Linked DNA regions of Mus musculus. The protein of the gene in region 1 purifies or fractionates together with the protein of each later gene. This does not show direct contact. Links are inferred from orthologs where the notes say so. Each region holds a gene or a part of one and is shown on either strand. Other genes may lie near its edges.

Evidence for each region. The genes of interacting proteins can lie anywhere in the genome.
Region 2: the proteins of Atp11a (region 1) and Tmem30a purify together in Homo sapiens (co-immunoprecipitation; 4 studies listed by BioGRID and IntAct, with this or other methods). This does not show direct contact. The link is inferred for Mus musculus from reciprocal best matches to the Homo sapiens genes ATP11A and TMEM30A.

What each region holds. Positions count from the first base shown.
Region 1 is NC_000074.6:12,754,963-12,760,194, reverse strand, and holds the start of Atp11a (probable phospholipid-transporting ATPase IH), read right to left. Parts: upstream 3,180-5,232; 5' UTR 2,882-3,179; coding exon 2,843-2,881; intron 1-2,842. UniProt on the Homo sapiens protein: Catalytic component of a P4-ATPase flippase complex which catalyzes the hydrolysis of ATP coupled to the transport of aminophospholipids, phosphatidylserines (PS) and phosphatidylethanolamines (PE), from the outer to the inner leaflet of the plasma membrane.
Region 2 is NC_000075.6:79,789,922-79,794,980, forward strand, and holds the start of Tmem30a (cell cycle control protein 50A), read right to left. Parts: upstream 3,510-5,059; 5' UTR 3,290-3,509; coding exon 3,053-3,289; intron 1-3,052. UniProt on the Homo sapiens protein: Accessory component of a P4-ATPase flippase complex which catalyzes the hydrolysis of ATP coupled to the transport of aminophospholipids from the outer to the inner leaflet of various membranes and ensures the maintenance of asymmetric distribution of phospholipids.

The DNA of each region.
Region 1 (5,232 bases):
TAGGCAAAGAAGCCATTCACATAAAACAGAATGAAAAAGAAGTCTGAATGAGCTGAATAGGGAGGTGCTGCCTGCTATTCAGCCACTGTTGAAGGTGAAGCGGGAAGACCACACACTTAAGACCCACCTGGATACAAATAGAGTTCAAGGCCAGCCTGAGCAACTTAGGAAGAGCCTGTCTCAAAGCAGGAACTCAAAGGACCTAGGGATATAATTCAGAGGTAGACCACTTGCTGAGCATGCACGAAGTCCTAGGTTCAATCGCAAGTTGTCACCAAGAAAGAAAGAAGGTAAAGTGGGGGAAGCCTCAGGCTTAGACAATGTGTGCTGCCTGCAAAGCAAATTTTAGAAGGCAGAGGCTCTGACAAGCCATAAAACCTAATAAATGAAATCCAGGCCCCATCACAGAAACACGTCACTCAGACATGACAAAACGAAGCTCTTGACCTACAGGGACTTGAGGGGAAATCAAATCCCTTCAGCATGAGCCAGGAGGCAAAAGGGAAAGGGCCTCCCTCCATGAGGAGCCTGGCCTGGGAAGCTGCCTCTAAGAAAGCTCTGCAACTGCTCCTGCTTGGCTGGCAGCAGTGCCCCGTGCCTCGCTTTCCGCTATTTTATCTTTCCCAAGTATACAAACCATACCCACCACCAATTCATTCCCCTACTCTCCCAGGAAAGCCCTGTGGGGAACCAACTAACTTCCACCCCTTTTTAACAGGGCTTTGGGTCAGGTAGCCAATGCATTTAATCCCAGCACTGGGAAGTCAGAGGCACACAGATCTCTGTGAGATCAGGACTAGCCTAGACTACATAGTGAGATCCAGACCAACCAATCACACTTAGGGAGATTCTCTCAAAAAAGTAAAAGTTTTGAAGGGTTCCAGAACTCCACCCCTACCCCCTAGGGAACCTTGGCATTAGGTGCTGGTAAACTTGTTGAGCCTCTCCGGGGAACCAGGCCCCATCCTTACCCCTTTTCTAGACTAAGACACTCAATCTTCACAAGAACTGCAAGGCACAGTGACAAGGACACTGCAGCAGGACAACCCTAGGAGCCAGGCCCACCAGGTCCACGGCTGCAAAGGCCTCCTCTAGCCTCTGCCGGGAGGCTCCGCAGCTGGTCCTCCGAGAGGGTCGGGTCGCTGACTTGAGCCACACTCCTCACTTTACATATCTAAGAGGAAGTGTCACTGGCTCTATATGTGCTCCTTAAAATGCCTAAGATGCATGATATGACTTAGACTATATCTGGAACATCGGCTACTACAAGAGCGCATGAGCTGTTCACACAGCTATGTGACCAACGTGTAGCATGGGGCGGACTGGCCTCAAAGACAGAGTTCTCTCTTTCATTTACCTGCCTGTATTCGCTGCCGAGAACTGACCCAGGACAAAATACCTATGACAGTGTTCTTGTCCAAGGGCTGATGACTCCTTCTTTAGCAACCTATGGCCTTAGAGGGAGCTGTGGTGCTTTTATTGCTCTCAGGAATTCTGACTGTGTGAAAGGCAGCAGGCTACAGAGGAGAGGCTCATTTCTGTAGAATGAGTCGAATAAACCAGGAGATAAGAATATCCAATCTCTTTTTCTCTTCTTATAAAAGAAAATATAATTTAACCTCACATCTTGGAAGATAAATACATAATAAGAAAACAAGCCATAACTGTTTCGGGGAAAAGTCAAATTAATTTCATGGCTTAGACTCGAGTTTAAGGCCTGTGGCAGAGCAGTCAAAAATGAGATGAGCAGAAGGAATAACATTCCATAACTTACATTCCAGATGCATTATCAAATAATTAAGAGTGGCAAAGTTCGTTAAGGAATATCTGCAGCCTAGATTTGAGAGAAAATACCACTTCGAAAGTAGAATAGCACAGCAAAAAGAAACTAACTTGAAATTTTACCTAGATAAGGAAATATAAAATAGCTGAAGGCTTGCCTAAGGGCACTGTGGAAGTAAAAGACAGCACCAGGGACGGAAAATTCGTCCTGTGGCCCTGGGAAGCTGGCAGGTGACTGTCTACAGGGACCAAGAAGACCACCCCTCCTCCTTTCGCTTCCCACGGGGGTGGGGTGGGGTGGGGTGGGGTGGGGAGGGCTGCAGTTTCCTAGTCTCATTCTTTGCTTACTGGAAGGCCAAAATTGGATGGAAATTAACCAGAAAAGCAAGAAGAAAAACCCGGGTAAATTCCCCTTCAGAAAAACCCACATCCAAGGACAAGTGTCACTCAGAGAAGCTAGAGAGAGCCGGCTCTGGTCCCCTCCGTACCCAGCCCGCACTGGGCAAGGCACGCGCTCCTCAAACCTGTGACCACCCCGCGCCAGCTGCCGTACAATAGGTCCTTGTGTCCAGCTTAGGGAAGACAAGCTGTCCCGGGGCAGATTCTCTCTTTTCTGTACACACACCCACTTTGCTCCATCCCGGCTGATGGATGCCACCTACCTCCCTGGTCTCCCCTGGTGAGGCACTCCGTCACTAACCGCGCAGCAGCATCCAAGGGAGCCGGGAACTACGCACTCGGACCTGGCTGACTACTTTCAGAGATGGCAAACTTCACTTCTGACTCCCCTGTGGAGGCTCCCCGCTTCCCCGCAGCCCCGTACATATGTCCCAGCCGGTCCCGGTCCCCGCGTCGGCCCGCCCCGCTGGGGCTGAGCGCAACCCCCATAAGGATGGATGTCCCTCGACCCCGGGATCGACCCGGCTGCAACTGCCTTCCGGGTGGGCCTGGCCGAGCGCAGGTGGAGCGCGGCGGGGACCCGACGGCGGGACGTTCCGGGCCTGAACCCTGACCCAGACCCGGACCCCGGACCCCGGACCCATCACAGAGAGCCACTCACGTATCTGCGCACGAGCGTCCTCAATAGACTGCAGTCCATGGTTATCGCTCCCGGCTCCGCGAGCCCCTGGGCTGCGGGCGCTAGCGCAGCCGCCCCCCGCCCGGTCACGGCCTGGGCGGCGCGGGGGGCGGCCGCGGCCCCTCCGCGCTCATGCCCCGCCGGCGGCGGCCAAGGGTCTCGGCCCGCGCGCAGGCGGCTCGGAGGAGGCGGCCTGCGCCCGGCGCTACTCCCGTCGGGCCGACGCGGCCTGCGCTCGATGCTCCGCGCCTGCTCCTCCCGCGGCCGCCGCGCCTCTGGAGCCGGCTCTGCCCCGCTGCGCCCCGCGCGTCACGGGCGCGTGTGAGCATGCGCGCGCCGCAGCCCCCGCCCCGGCCCCGCGCGCGCCGCGACTCCCTAGCGCGTCGCCGCCGCCCTGTTGCTTCCGCCTCCCTGCGGGACTGGGGGAGGGGGGGCGGGGGGGGCTGTCATCGCCCCCGCGTGGCTCGTCGGGTGCTGATCCACCCCTTCTCCACCCCCGCCCCGTTCACTCCTCTTCTAAAACGGAAGCCTGGCTGTGAGCCCAGGACTCCATGGCGAGTGCCATGGGCCTGGGTCCCTAGGCCTGCGGGGGGGGGGGGGGGGTCACACCTCCTGCCGTGGCGTGGACAGAAGACACAGGATCCTCAGGTGGCTACAGGGAGCGAACATTACCACCCCTTTTGGGACTGACTCCCTTGGAGACCAAACCAAACACGTCCTGATCCAGCTCTCATGACTCACTACTCTCTACCTCTACCTACTCCTGGGGCCCAGTCTCTGTCCTGCCTTCCAGAAACCAGGCCTCAGGGAAGACCCTCCACAGTCCTGGGTTTTACCTTGTGGTCCAGCCCCCTGTCAAATGCTTCCTGCTTCTACCTTACAACTGTATCACCATGGCTAGCACCCAGGGAAGGTGGTTCTTTGCTGCCTAGGTGTGAAGTGGCACATGGCTGAACAACCTTCCTTACCTCCAGCCCAGCCGTAATCTAGCTAATGTTTACTGGTTCCACATCCCTTGCTTTTGCTTCTGATAACGGTAGAACCAGAGACGAGGGATCTGCAGTGGCCGATCAGGAGCACCAGACCTGAGGATTAGGAATGTATTTGAGAGCGTTCTGACAGGGTGTGGAGGAGATCTGACTTTGCTATGGTTTGGATTAGACACTGGTGGCAATGGTGCCAGTGACTAAACTGATCTCCTGAGCCACCACCGCCTTCTACCCTGTTTTCTACCTAAGTTCTACACCAGTGCTCACCACGGAGCACCAGCTACAGACACCCAGCCAGCCTCAGGGCAAAGGGTTTTCTCTCCGGGCTTCCTGGACTTGCTGTGAGCCTGGTGGAGTTGGCAGTCAGCGCTCATTGGTACTCCTAGCTGTGGTGTGGACTCTTGAGGACAGCAGGCCTCTATGTCTAGGGACTAGCTGCTGGCCTCAGTGGGCCTGACTGGGCTGTTCATGTGTCTCTGATGCTCTATCTCTTTCCTACCATGACTGCTGGGCCAAATTGTAGGCTATTGGCCAATTACAATTGCAGTGGGTATTCCTGGCACAGATGTGCCTCAGGATAAAGCCTTCCTATCTATCCTTAGAGAATGTTCTACTTGGAGGAATGTTTCATTTCCTTCCTTCCTTTCTTTTTTCTTGTTTGGATTTTTGAGACCGAATCTTCATTCTAGGCTGGTCTCAAACTCTATACAAACATCCTGCCTCAGCCTCTGAAGTGTTGGAACACAGGAGTGAGCCCTGGTGTCTAGCTTATTCTTCATACAGAGCAAAGCACTTCCCTGGTGGTGCAACAGGAGTGAGTGACTTCATCCTCTGAGCCTTCACCCTTTGTGGGGCTCAGGACTCTCTGGCTCCCTCCAGCTGACACCATTCATTCTAGCAAGTGGCTGACTTGCTAATTAACACATAGAGGAACATGCTGGAGGCTGTTTAGGAAGGTTTCCTTGCTTTTAAGAAATCGAGAGTTTATTGTATATGGGATGGATCCCCCAGACATGTTGTGGATGCCAACAAGAGCCTGCTGACAGGAGCCTGATATAGCTGTCTCCTGAGAGGCTCTGCCAGTGCCTGACAAATACAGAAGTGGATGCTCACAGCCATCCATTGGACGGAGCACAGGGTCCCCAATGAAGGAGCTAGAGAAAGGACCCAAGGAGCTGAAGGGGTTTGCAGCCCCATAGGAGGAACAGCAATATGAACTAACCAGTAACCCCAGCGCTCCCTGGGACTAAACCACCAATCAAAGAAAACGCATGGTGTGGGACTCATGGCTCCAGCTGCCTATGTAAGCAGAGGATGGCCTAGTCAGTCATCAATGGGAGGAGAGGCCCTTGGTCTTGTGAAGGTTCTAAGCCCCAGTGTAGA
Region 2 (5,059 bases), on another chromosome or scaffold:
GTTTTACTTTCAATTTTCCAAGTTCTAAGCAAACACGCCATACCAAACATCTTGATTTATAAGTCTTCTGCCCTAGTAAGCTGAACTATACTGCACGTGGACTACTGAGTTTTCAAAAAGAAACTTAAACCATGTAAAACAGACAGCAGGAATCAGTGTGGGGGAGAACTGCTCACATCCTGTTTACCTTTATTTTATCTCTTTCTTTCTTCTTTCTTTTCCTTCCTTCCTTCCTTCCTTCCTTCCTTCCTTCCTTCCTTCCTTCCTTTCTGTGATACAGTATCATTCATTTAGTCCTATTCTAGAACTCACTATGTAGACCAGGCCCAGAGATCCACCAACCTCTGCTTCTCATGTATGTGGGTGGACCAAATGGGTATCTGATGCTTGCTGAGGCTGCAAGGGGACATGGGATGACTTAGAACTGTAGTTAAAGACAGTTGTGAGCCACCATGTAGGCACTAGAAATCAAACCTGGGTACTCTTGCAAAGGAAGCCAGTGCTCTTAAGTGCTGAACCAGCTCTCCAGTTCCTCCTGTTCACTTTTAATTATCCTCAAAGGCGTTTAGCCTAAGCTAGCAGCTAACAGAAGGTAGAGGACTTAGTGGGACAGCACTTCCTCGTGGCCCAGAGTTCAATCTCCAGCACACACAGAGAATAAAGAACAAGCATACAAACTTGTATGTCGAAAAAGCTCTCTAGGTTTTTCTAATAACTCCAGACCTAATTTGAAATCATTTGCTACATATCCAACACTCAAATTTTAATCATTCTATCTGCATGTGTTGGTGTTAATACAAAATTTCCAGTAACTCCTAATTTTCATTTTCTCTCATTTCAATTATGGCTTTTTGAACATAGCATTATTTTAAATCAAAATTAAGTTGTGAGTCACAGACTTTCAGAAGTGAATGGCATCTTAAGGATCATCCACTCTAAATCTTTGTAGTATTAAGAGCAGCTCACAAAAAAAAGGGTTCCATCACCACCTAGTGAGAGCTGGAACTTTCGCTCTAGGCCAGCTCTTAACTCCAATGTCCCTCTGTGCCACTACAATACACTCTTAAAATCAGGGGCACACTAAGCACAAGAAATTTCCATTTCACTAATCACTAAGTTTACAGAACCTTACTTTACTTTTCAGAACCCAAAAGTTTTAAAGAAAATTATTTTCCAACTGTAGTAAACAGTACTAGTTTTTTAACAATTTAGTAAATATTCATACACAATCTAAATCATCATTGCTTTCATCTTAATATCAAGTTTAAAGGAGATGGTGCAAAGGTCTAATGCTTAGGAGGTATCCCATTATCTTTCCTATCATCTCAGTAAGGGTCATGATGTAGTGTGAGAGTTTACACCTTGGAATCAGGACATTAACACTCCCAACAGTCCAGCCATCCCTCAGGCTGGTCCTTAGCTCTCATCTCCTGCTGATGGGTCATAACGCACATCTATTTTGCATCTAAGTGTAAAATCTTAGAAGAAATTCATTATCCTATTTATTTTAGAGATGAAGAAACTAACCTTCAGAGAAAGTAAGTCAATTACCCCCCCTGAAATCTAATTAAAGCTGCAGAGCTCAGGGTTTAGGTATGACAGGGAACAGAAGTGTTTTACATCCGAGAAGTTTTTTTTTTTTTTTTTAAAACATTCTGTACGTTTGTATAGTTTTCTCCAGTTGAGCATACCTAATCTCAAACTCTACAATCCAAAATATTCTAAAATCAAAACTTTTCTCCTGCCCAACCTGTTTGGCCCAGAGCTTCATTTACATTTTGGAGCATTTTGGGCTACCTTTGAGTATATCACAAGGCTAAAACCACGAAGATAAAATATATACCAAAAACATACGCTGTGAGCTTGCTCTAGTCAAAATAAAATTTAATAAAAGATTTTTAAAATACACTCTAGATACTATTCTTACTGTCATTAATACTGAAGCACTGTGCAGTTAAAATATATATATATATGTGTGTGTGTGTGTATGTATGTATATATATATATATATATATATATATATATATAAACCAGCTTACTTTAGTAAACTGAACAAAGTCACCAAAGTCCCTAGCTAAAATGACTGGGGACGTCCAATTAAATGTAGTATTTATTTTTAAATTAAGTACACAAAAATATATCTTTACAACAGAAGAAAGCAAGGTTACTCAACATCGATCTTGCCAGTTCAAACAGATGAAAACTCCCTTAATTTGATGGAGGACTTGTGGACGTCCAATACTGTCCGCCACACAGTACTCACATCCTGCTATAAACCCATCTTTACTGATGCGGACGGATAAAAATGCAGTGATTACTGCACCAACACAAATCAAAATGTTTCCCTCAGTAGAGTGTTTCTATCACATCTAAGTAGGATATTCCAAAAAAAAAAAAGTAATGCCAGTGAAATCGTTTATAGCTAGTTTCCAACTTATTTCGTGTGGAATCATTGATATGCATATTTTAAAAATCAAGCAGGAGGAATTAGGACCACTGTGGGGCATAATTAGAAATGAATACCGCCTAAAAACAAACCAGAACTGAAGTTTCATGCCTTTAACTATATCGTGGCCAACAACTAAAAATATCTAATTAGCTCAAAATCAAAGTTACTTGTGTGCGCTCTGTATGACTTAATTTCTTCACAGAAGAATCAATACCTTTATTGACTCCGGGTCCTACACCCAACCAATTTGTTAATCTCTGTGTCCCAGAATAACCCCCGCCCAAATAACAACAGTCTGCCCCTGTGAGTTGCCTCAGAGTTAAACACGTAAATCTAACTCTTTTTCCTCTTATCTCCTCCTAAAAGACATTCACTCTACCTCTCGGAAACCCACGCAAAGCGCCTCCAAAAAAAGTCTCGTCCACCCGACATTCTAGCTGTATTCATTCCATTTCCAGCCAGGTAAACCGAGAGCCAAAGGAAGCGAGCCCACAAAACTGCAAACTCAGAAAAGCCACAGAAGAAACCGAGAAGGCACCAGAGGGCGGGGCCCGCCTGTCACCTTCTGGGAGCCGGGGGATCACTGCCACGCCCCTCCCTCACCTCGATCTCACGGATGTTGTTGGAGGTGACGAAGATGCCGATGCCGATGGGGATGAAGATGAGGCCGATGATGAAGAAGGTGGGCAGCACCGTGCCGGCCGTGAGGATGGGCTGCCAGGCGGGTAGCCGTTGCTGTTTGAAGGCCGTGTTATCCGGCCTCCGGGTCTTGGCGGCGCCCCCGGGAGGACCCGCGGGCCCGCCGTCCACCTCATCCTTCGCGCTATAGTTCATCGCCATCGGCCCCCGGGCTTCGGCTCGGCCACGTCCAGCTGGGCCGCCCAGGGGACTTGCGTGCCGCCGACCCTGACAGGAGACGCGCAGTCACCGCTGCCGCTACCGCCTCCGCCACCCGCGCCGCCACCGGGGAGGCGGAAGAGGCGGGACACGCTTCTGCGGCCGGCCGCTGACCGGAAGCGGGCGTCTTTAGGAGACGCCCCAGGGAGGGAGAGAGAGGAAATGGGGAGATGATTGAGGGACGAGGGGAGGGGAGGGGGAGGAGGATGGAAGGGGGAGGAAAAAGACGGACGCACCCTGATCATCTGCCCTGTGACGACAAAGTGAGGGCTTTAGGCCGGGCGCGCGGCTACGTGAGCGCATGCGCGGCCCGGAGCGACGTCTGCGCACTAGGACGGTAGCGTCTTCGCTTCCCCGGGAGGACGCTTCTGTTGGCGCACACTTCCTGTTGTGGTTATCATGGAGACTTCTGGAGCCGTCAGGTCGGACTCGGTGACCTGGGCTACCTGTAATTTCGGCGCCGGGTTGACTTTTCTTATGACGCCTACGCCTCTTCTGAAGGGAGTTGTAGCGTCCTGGAGTCCACATGTTTAAAAGGATGCAGATCCCTATTGAATTTTAACTCGCCACTCAGTGTGCCTCTATGAATTTAAGTGAGGTATAACATGCGACCCATTTGATATAATAATAATAATAATGATGATGATGATGATGATGCAACCTAGTTTAGCCCTAATCCCTCGCTTCTGATCGATTTTCATTTATTTTTCTGTCTACTTCACATTGGTTTGGGAAGGTTATTGTAAAACATGACAGTGATTCTTTTTTTTTAAACTTGGTAATCAAAAACCAGAACATAATACCACTTGTTTAAAAAGGGGTATTAGTTTTAACCTGCCAAGGAAATTCTCGTTGAGACTATGTGTAATGTCAGCCCTTGAAAGGTAAAGGCAGAGTAATTGAAATTACAAGGCCAGTCTGAGCTACTTAAGAGGCCAGCAGGAAATCCATAGAGAACCTGTCTCAATAAATAAACAATAATTAGTAACTCAAAGACACCAAAGCAGTACAGAGAATACAAAGTGTAGAATTCAACTATAAAGCGTAAGATGCTAACCTCCATTGATTGACTGTAGGCAGGATTTTTTCTTTTCTATATTTTACAAATTTTCTTTTATAAGTGTGTAATTTTGCAAATTTACAAAAAAAATGATTATATAGCATCTACATTTTGAAATTGTGTTTGAAATCCAGACTATCTGACAGTACCTACTTTTAAAAAGTCTTTGTCTACAGTTTTGACTTGCTCCAGTATGTTCTTCTGTGATCTTGGATTTCCCGGCCCCGGGTTTTCCAGACAGGGTTTCTCTGTGTAGACCAGGCTCCCCTCAAACTTGTATAAATCCTCTTGCCTCCTGGGTGTTGTAATTAAAGGCCTGGGCCACCACAGCCTAGCTGATCTCAAATTCTTAAGGCCTCTAGAATCCTTAGGTTTGTATCTTGCTTTAGCAGCCTAAGTTTACCTTCAACCCCATTCAAATGGAAAAGAGTCTGTCATAGAGAGGCTTAGCCTGTTGTCTTAAACGTTCTGTTGGGTAAAATGTTCATCACAGTGTTGGGGATAATCATGGAGTCCTTTTTCTTTCTTTTTCCCCACTCCTGTTTAGATTATCACAGTTAGATGTGTTAGTTCCTTTATTTCTACTCTAGAACTCGGTTTAAATAGTGCTACAACTGAACCTTCAACATACAATTGAAAATATTCAGGGGAAA